Ovis aries: one gene and its partner. Each later gene encodes a partner of the first gene's protein in a complex. Links are inferred from orthologs where the notes say so. Each region holds a gene or a part of one and is shown on either strand. Other genes may lie near its edges.

Region 1 (4,002 bases):
AAATAACAGGAAAGGTGCTTCAGGACAAAAAAAAAGTTGTATAAATTATCTGAGAATTCTGTTTTTCTCACTGTTAAGTTTTTCCAGTGTTTTTAAAATAACTACAAAATTTGAACACCAAATAGTAAAACAGTCATTGCACTTCGTAGTTTCATCTGAAGGCAAACAAGAGTCATGTCCGGCTCTTTGCGACCCCATGGACTGTAGCCCATCAGGCCTCTCTGTCCATGGGATTCTTCAGGCAGAATCCTGGAGTGGGTTGCCATTTCCTTCTCCAGGGGATCTTCCTGACCCAGGGATTGAACCTGGGTCTCCCGCATTGCAGGCAGACACTTTAACCTCTGAGCCACCAGGGAAGCCCAAACTTTTAAAATAAACTCAGAATGACAAGTATTTTACAAATTAAACTGGCATACGATATTTAGTCAAGAGAATATTCTAAGAAAGATGCGGTTTCAGGCTTAGGCTTTTCCCACCTTCTTTTCCCACCAGTCAATATGACTCTACAGTTTAGCATCACAGTAACACAACCTAGGAATACAGGTACTCAGATTTCTCTACCCTAGCATCATTGGCAAGCAGACAGGTCAGTGAACTCGGAAGTCTGAGTTATTCTCTGAAGAGTGACTAGGATGTGGAATCAGGGAACTATCTCCGTTTCTGATGCTGGCAAAACAAAAAAGCCCACAAACTACAAAAAGTCCTGGTTCCTAACAAAGGTAAACAACTGTAAAATCAAATGCAAAGACTGGTAGTCATTGAACCTGTGCAAAACACATTTTAATCATCACCACATATGAAAATAAACACGGAGACAATGGAGCAGGCTTTAGCAACAGGAAGGCACAGGAAACAGGGACTGGACCTGCTCTGGGTGCCCCTGGAGGCTGATCCAGCACAGGAGCATCTCGGTGAGCAGTGGCTTAAAATAAACGTGAAGTGAAGGCAAACGGGGGACGTGTCACCTCTGGGTCTTCAAGAGGATGGGATTAGAAGGCAGGAAAGACAAAATTGGTTTCAACTGGACCTAAAGAACTTCTTTAACAAACAGTGATGAAATGGTAGACTAGATTACTGGCGACTGGAATCACCACCTCAAGAATCTCCAGGGGTAAATAAGCCAGAATGTTTGGGACATTCTCTTCAGTTGAAAGCAGGCAGCCCAGGTAATTCATGTCACCTGTAACTTGATTATTCAGACACTGGTACCTTTAACTATGGGCACTCTGAGGAGATAGAACTCATTCAAGAGACAGGATATGTCCGAGTCCCACTCTTCACAATGCAGAGGAGGAAAAGAGAGAGAACAGAGAAGCAAAGGCTCTGAGACACAGACTGTCAATAAAGGGGGGATGCAGTGGTTCCATATGTGCATTCGGGGCTGTTAGAGACTTGAAAAGCCTCCATCTGACGCCCGGAGACTTGACGGCTGCAGTTGTTAAGACTGTCACCTCTCCTCCCCCTCCCTCCACGATCATCGCATCTCACAGGAGTTACCCCCAGGGCTCCTGGCGCCCCTTATCTGTACACAAGAGTCTCTCACCCTCTCATTTTGATACCCCACCCCCCAGCACTTTGACAAAGAGAGGTAATAAAAGGATGAGTAAGCACGCCGCAGCTCATCTTGGTCAAAGAGCACAGACCCTGGCACCGACCGTGGAAAATGGGGGTGAAGAAGCAGAAAGGAAAGCGAAGTCGGGGAGTTCGGCCAATGAGCAGGCAGTTACCAGCTTTCCCAGGGCAGTTCGTGTCACCTCCTTCTGCAGTCACCACAGACTCCGAACCCCTGCCCTCGCCACCCCCACCCCACTGTGGTCAAGTGCGCCCTTTTCCTTGGACAGCTACTTCTTAAAAACAACACAGAAGAAGTAATTTTTCCAGACTTCCGGTTGTCAAAGACAATAAAAACCTCACCCTGAAGCATGGTTAAGTTCAACGGTTCTGTTTCCTCCCTCGTTTTCTGGCATCCCGTCCACCACCTCTCACCCCAGACCACCTCTGTTAGGGGTGGAAAAAGCGACTGCCACTCTCAGTTTCAAATATATGTCAACCTTTGGCGGGGTGCGGGGAGGGGTACTTTTGAATTACTTCGACATTCTGGTTACAAGTATCTGACCTTATTTTTTCCTCCCCAAAGGAAAAGACAGGACACCAAGTGGCCAGAAATTTCCCTTTTTCTGCCCTCCTACTTCGGTCGCTGGCAGCATCTTGGGAGGCTTCCGAAGCGGGAGGTTTCGGGGGGGTGGTGGTCTTTCGAGTTTCTTCCTAGGAAATTGGCCCTCAGCAGCCAACGTCCTCTGAGCTCCCGGGTTTGCTTTAAAATGTTCAAACTTCACAAGACAGAAAAATTACGGCTAAGGAGCCACGTCCTTTGTTGAAGCCCCACGGGTTTTAATTTGGGGTGGAAAAGGCCACCAGCAACAATCACGGACTGCTCCCCGCGGGGAGGGGGGACAGGTGCTACTCCGGGGCTGTGGAGGGCCCTGCGGCGGGCGGCGTGGCGGCCAACCCGGCCCGGCCCGACCCGAGCGCCCGTTCGCCCGCGGCCTCCCACACGCGTCCCCCGCGCTGCCCCGCGGGCCCCGCCGCGCCGCCGGCCTCCGCTCCAAGATGGAGGTGGCGGCGACGGCGGGCGGCCGGTTACGAAACGCGCGGCCGCCACATGGCCGCGCCGGCCCCAAACTTGGCCGGGCCCCGGGCGAGGCTCGGGGCCCGGGGAGCGAGGAGGCCGCGGCGCCCGCCACTCACCCACAGACCGGTAGCCCAGGATCGCGATCTTCCGGGACTTGGACTGCGGCATCTTGGCGGCCTCCTCAGCCCCGGGTCAACCACATCAACCGCGGCGGCGGCGGCTCCTGCGCTGCGATCGGCGGCGGCCGCGCCGGGGCACAGCGGCATCCAGGGGCGGGGCGGGGCGGGCGGGCGCGGCTGCCTCAGCTCCTCGCTCGCGCGCCCAACCGCCCGGAACCGCCGCGCGGCCCCGCCCCCAAACACGCCCACGTGACCGCGCGACGCCGCAGGCGGCTCGCGTCAGCACCGCCCTCCCGCGGCCGCGGCCCCTTCCCCCAAACGCACGGGGTGTGCGTCGGGAAGTGTTTTACTTTAAAGGGAAAAAGAGGGGACGCCGAGATGCCCCTGGAAAAGTCACGACTAAAACTCGCTGCGTCATGACCCGCCCACTGTCTTCCGCCGCTTTTTAATGACGCCAGCTCTCCCCGAGCGCTGATTGGACAGTTCCCATCCGCCCGCGCGCTGACGCGACGGAAACTCCTTCTCCCATTGGGGGGGCGGGCGGTGAAGAGGCGGGCCCGGAGGCGGGGGCTGCTTGGCCCGGCAGCTAAAAATAAACGCCGACTACAAACGCGCGGCTGGGCGCCGGTGAAGTTTGGAGGCTTAGAGCTTCTGAGGGGCTGGAGGCGGGTGGGAGGGGCGGAAAGAAGCTATCTCCCCAGGGATTGGTTAGATCGCGGGGAGGGGGCGGGGCGAAGCGTGGGAGGTGCGGTGATTGGTGGGCCGCTGAGCGGTCCTTGAACTCGCGCCCGCTGAGCCCTTAAAAGGCACGAGGCTGGTGGCGGGTGCCTTGCTGGGCTCTTGGTTGGCTGATATCTTCCTCGTGTGTGTTTTTTTGTTTTTGTTTTAAAATTGCTGCATTGGCTTTCGTGAGTCTAGGTTGGAGGATGTAGGTGATGACGAAGCATCAGCCATGGGTGGAGGACCATGGGAAGAATGGAGTATGCGTTCATTGAAAATGTGAACGTGTTTCATGAAAAAAGCGTTCTCCTCAGTTTTCATGCATCTCCTCAGTTCCGGTCTTAACGCTGGCGTTTGCGGATCCCAGACACCTCACGGGAAAGGAACAGCGCCGGGTCGACGCAGGTTTAACTGTCAACACCTGCATGGCTAATTGAGTAAGGCAGACTTAAAACACCCGCCGTTGTTGGCTGAGAACTCTCCAGAACCGTCCTTCCAGGGGGATTTAAGACCGGAGAGCCGGCGCTCAGG
Region 2 (4,050 bases), on another chromosome or scaffold:
CAATAGTAAAATGGGCAAAAACAAAATCAACAAACAATTCACAGAAGAAAAAGAAATGGCCAGATTTTGTGACTTCTAATAATAACAATGGCAGCGATAACAGCTAATACAATGTGCTTACAGGCATCAAGTGCTTGGCTAAATGCTTTAGATATCAACTAATTTAATGCTCACAATAACTCTAGGAGATAAGATACTATTTTTATCCTTTTTTAACTGCTAAGGAAATTGTAACAGCAGTTAAAAGAAGCTCCTCAGGGACACACAACCTGAGCTGGAATTCCACTGCAGATAGTAAAGCTCTCAAGCCAGCGTATCTCTTAAACACTATGCTGTTACCTCTCCAGAGATAGCAGTATCTGGGAAACACAAGTTAAAACAAGATGTCATCTACTGTTAAAACTGACAAAAAGAAAAAGACCAACACAGTAAATGTGGAAAATAAGTACTATCAACATTGTTGGCAGGAGAATAAAATGGTGATTTCTTTTTGTAGAAATGACTCTTCTTACAGAAAAAGATACTTGGAACAATTTATACAATAAAAGGTGGATAACAGGTATTTTCTTATTAAAATATTAATTTTATTTTTCCCTGAAGGTAGTAACAAATCCTAGAACTCTTTTCTTTTCTCTTTTAATTCTCGGATGTGAATAAAAGCTACCAGAGGAGGATATTCTGTTGTCTCCACGCTAAATTTTCTTGGTGGCTGCTCCCCATGTGATTTAATCAGCCCCGGTCAAATTTTCCCTGAAAGCCTGTTTCGTGATGCACTAAACAACACAGGTTCTACTTTCTATTCTTTCCCATATTTGTCCTTTGCCTCTTTCTCAAGAGCCAAAGTTTCTCTTGAACAACATTCAAGAACCAAGACTGAAGGTGAGTAGCTCAAACTTTCCCTTTTTGGTTTGAAAGACCCGTTCTTATTTTCAGCAACATGTTAACTCCAATCAGATAAAAACATGGCTTCTGAAATCTCTCAATTCTTTATAGTCTTCAGTTTACTGTTTATAGCATAAATGTAAAGTAGCAATATAAATTACTTAAGGGAAAAATAAAATCCACGTCATAGCTTTTGTAACACTTCAGCCATTCCTATCTATAGGCACTATCAGGAAGAGAAACAGGGGAAGTACATGAAGCTATTAATATGTAAAAGAGGCTGTTAGGAAACTTCACTGCATGAAAGTATTTAAAGTTTATCATGAATGGCAGTAAGTTTAGGTAATATTGCCTTCCCTTAAAAAAAAAAGCATAGTAGGTCAGTTCCCCTTTGAAAAACTTAATTTGTACCTCCAAAACTTTCTGTTAAACTTTTTTGCTGCTGGGTTCTAAAACTTACTACCAACTTGGTTTCTGATTATGACAAGGCAATGAAAATCTGCAGGGGTGAAATGGACTCTGTGGAAACACAGTCAGCTCAGAGAACAGTGCTTGACTAAATCTCCAGGGGAGGAGCCCTACAGGGATGACTATATGTTCATTAAGAGACGAACTGAAGAATGTTCCATATTGTAAACATAGGATGTGAGAAGAGATTAAGGTCAGCAGGAAAATGTGAGATTGGAACGGAGAAGATTGCACTTTTTCCATCTGCATCAAATGGTCACAGATAAACACTCCATTCAAACACAGTTTCACTATGGTAAGAAGGTAGTATTTGCAGCACCACAACAGGCCCGAGGCAATGATTTCTACACCCTACTAAACCCTACAGTGTCCCCAACGTAATCAAACAATTGCTGGACAGTTCCAGCATGTCTACGCCTTAACCACACAAACTTGTGCGAGCAGACACACCCCTTCACCAGGAGTCCCAGTGCAAACCCAAAACGCCTCAAGGCATCTCACGCACACATCTAGGGTCCTCATTTCGCTAGAAAGACAACTGAGGAGCTGAGGGAGACTCAGCGACCGTCCAACGCCTCCAAGGGCCAAGACAGAGTTAAGGTGAGGTCCATCTCGGACTCCTCACTCCCAACCTTCCTCCGCTCCAGCCCTGGAAGGAGCCACAAGTGAGGAAGAGAAGTTGTGGAAACAAGAAGGGGAGTGGCGTCTGGGGTGGGGTTGGGGGGTGCGGAGTGGGATGCGAGAACCCCACTCGCATTGAGAGTTCAACACCAGCATCTGTATTTGTCCCACACAAGGTCACTCGCTCCAAGTCACTTTTCCCCCTGCTGCCCGGTGGGCTTCCCGCCAGAGGCTGCTGGGCTTCGAGGTCAGCCCACCGCGCCCCCTCGGCTCTCCCCTACGGGCCGCAGCCCCTTCCCGGCCTCCCTTCTCGGACCCAAGCGCGCCTCCCCGACTCCGGTTTCCGACGCCCGGAGCCTCTCCCAGCCCCATTCGGCGGCTCCTCTGCCTCTACCCACAGGTCTCCCATCAACGTCCCCTCCTTTCCTCCAGACGCCCCTTTCCCCGCCTCCCGCGCCGGGTCCCGCCGGGGGCCCCCGGACGCCGTTCCTGTTCCCCTTTCCCGCCACCCTCTCCTCGGGTGCCCACCTGGCGCGGCCCCCGCCCCCGGCCCGTCTCCTCAGCGAGCGGCCGCCTCCCGAGTCCTCCCGGCCCCGCCCCGCTCCCGGGCGGATACAGTTTGAAGCCCCTCAGGATCTCCCTGGCACGCTCGTCCTTGGCTGACATGATGCGGCGGCCGCCGCCTGCGGCTCTCTCACGCTGGCCTGGCGGAGCCTCGCAGACGGTGCCCAGGAACTGAGGACGGAGCCGCAGCCCGGCCTGAAGACCTCGGGAGAACAGCGGCAGCGGCCAGACCCAAACCGGCCTCTCCCTCCCCTCAGCTCCCGCTCCTTATCCCTTCTCCTTCCCTCTAGCCTCTGAGCGCCCGCCTTGAAGCCAATAGGAAGCCTGCCTCGGCGATTGGCATCTTGATCGACCAATAGAAACACTCAGCGGCTTCGCAGGGGGACGAAGAGCGTCAATGGGAAGGGCCCTCACGGGGAAGTCCCGTAGGACAAAATTTTCATTCGGCGTGGTTACCTAGAGTTTGTCCCAGAGGAGAGTTTGCTTCAGATTTGCAGAGGCTCTCCTGCGGCTGGGTACAGTAGGGCTTTGAGATGACAGCCCGTTGCCCTGTGCGATGTGGTGGAGACTACACTTCCCAGCATTCCAGGGGGCGCCCGGGGGGACCACAGATCCCAGCACGCAACAGAAAACCCAGGGACTACAAATCCCAGCATTCCCCGCACTCAGTTCCTCTAACTTCGATTCCAGTGTGCCGCGCAGTGTGCGCAAACCCCTAAATCTGCTTGTAGGCTTGGTGGTTTCTGAATCCCAGGGGTTGAAACCGGGCAGGAAGATCCTCTTCAGCCTCAAAAGATGACAGCCCACAGACAAGTAACTTCTATTTACATGGAACCCAGAAATCTCCTGCAAATCATGGTAAGGCTGAAACAACAAACACAAACACTGATTAAATCATGAAAAAGAATGTAACAGAATGACTCCTTCAAGCCGTACTTGTTTGTTGGCCTGGGGAGCCGGTTAGGTATTTCTCAGGGATTTCTGGTGTGCTCCTGCGGTGGACCAAGAGATGTAAAGGTTGTGTACTCAGACTATCAATGCAGTCAGAATTCAGAGGATTTGCTAATCTAACCTCTGTTATTTTACGTATGAAGAAACTGAGGCCCAGAGAGGCAGAGAGATTGTCGGGGTCACAGAAAGTTGGGGCAGAGTTAAAATTCAGCTCTAAGACTCCTGCAGTCTGGGCTTTTTGCACTACACTAGGGTAGTGATATTTTTAGCAACATGGCTATGCGATCTTCCTCTCCTTGGTGAAGTTTTCCTATCAAGGTTGAAACACCCAGAGGATACTGTGGACAAAAAAATGTTGCCTGACATTTCAGTAAACAACAAACGTTGCCCACCGTCAAGCCATCAGCCACTGAAGCCACCGCTGAAAATGGGCCCAGAGGAGGATTCAGGAGGGAGAAAAATAGGAACTTGCTCTAGATAATTAAGATGCATGTCTAGGGAATGATTTCAATGAGCCCAGACACTTGCATCTTCCCATGCATAGAAAACCACAGAAATCATTCT

Evidence for each region. The genes of interacting proteins can lie anywhere in the genome.
Region 2: the proteins of RHEB (region 1) and PDE6D are in contact, whole or in part, in a crystal structure (PDB 3T5G), measured with the Homo sapiens proteins. The link is inferred for Ovis aries from reciprocal best matches to the Homo sapiens genes RHEB and PDE6D. Residues at the interface, in NP_005605.1 of Homo sapiens: Pro2, Gln3, Ser4, Gln57, Asp77, Gln176, Gly177, Lys178, Ser179, Ser180, Cys181; in NP_002592.1 of Homo sapiens: Ile53, Leu54, Cys56, Val59, Val80, Gln85, Cys86, Leu87, Glu88, Glu89, Trp90, Ile109, Glu110, Ala111, Ala112, Pro113, Gln116, Met117, Met118, Leu123, Tyr149.

What each region holds. Positions count from the first base shown.
Region 1 is NC_056057.1:115,675,351-115,679,352, forward strand, and holds the start of RHEB (GTP-binding protein Rheb), read right to left. Parts: upstream 2,801-4,002; coding exon 2,749-2,800; intron 1-2,748. UniProt on the Homo sapiens protein: Small GTPase that acts as an allosteric activator of the canonical mTORC1 complex, an evolutionarily conserved central nutrient sensor that stimulates anabolic reactions and macromolecule biosynthesis to promote cellular biomass generation and growth.
Region 2 is NC_056055.1:233,481,996-233,486,045, forward strand, and holds the start of PDE6D (retinal rod rhodopsin-sensitive cGMP 3',5'-cyclic phosphodiesterase subunit delta), read right to left. Parts: upstream 2,801-4,050; 5' UTR 2,638-2,800; coding exon 2,588-2,637; intron 1-2,587. UniProt on the Homo sapiens protein: Promotes the release of prenylated target proteins from cellular membranes. Modulates the activity of prenylated or palmitoylated Ras family members by regulating their subcellular location.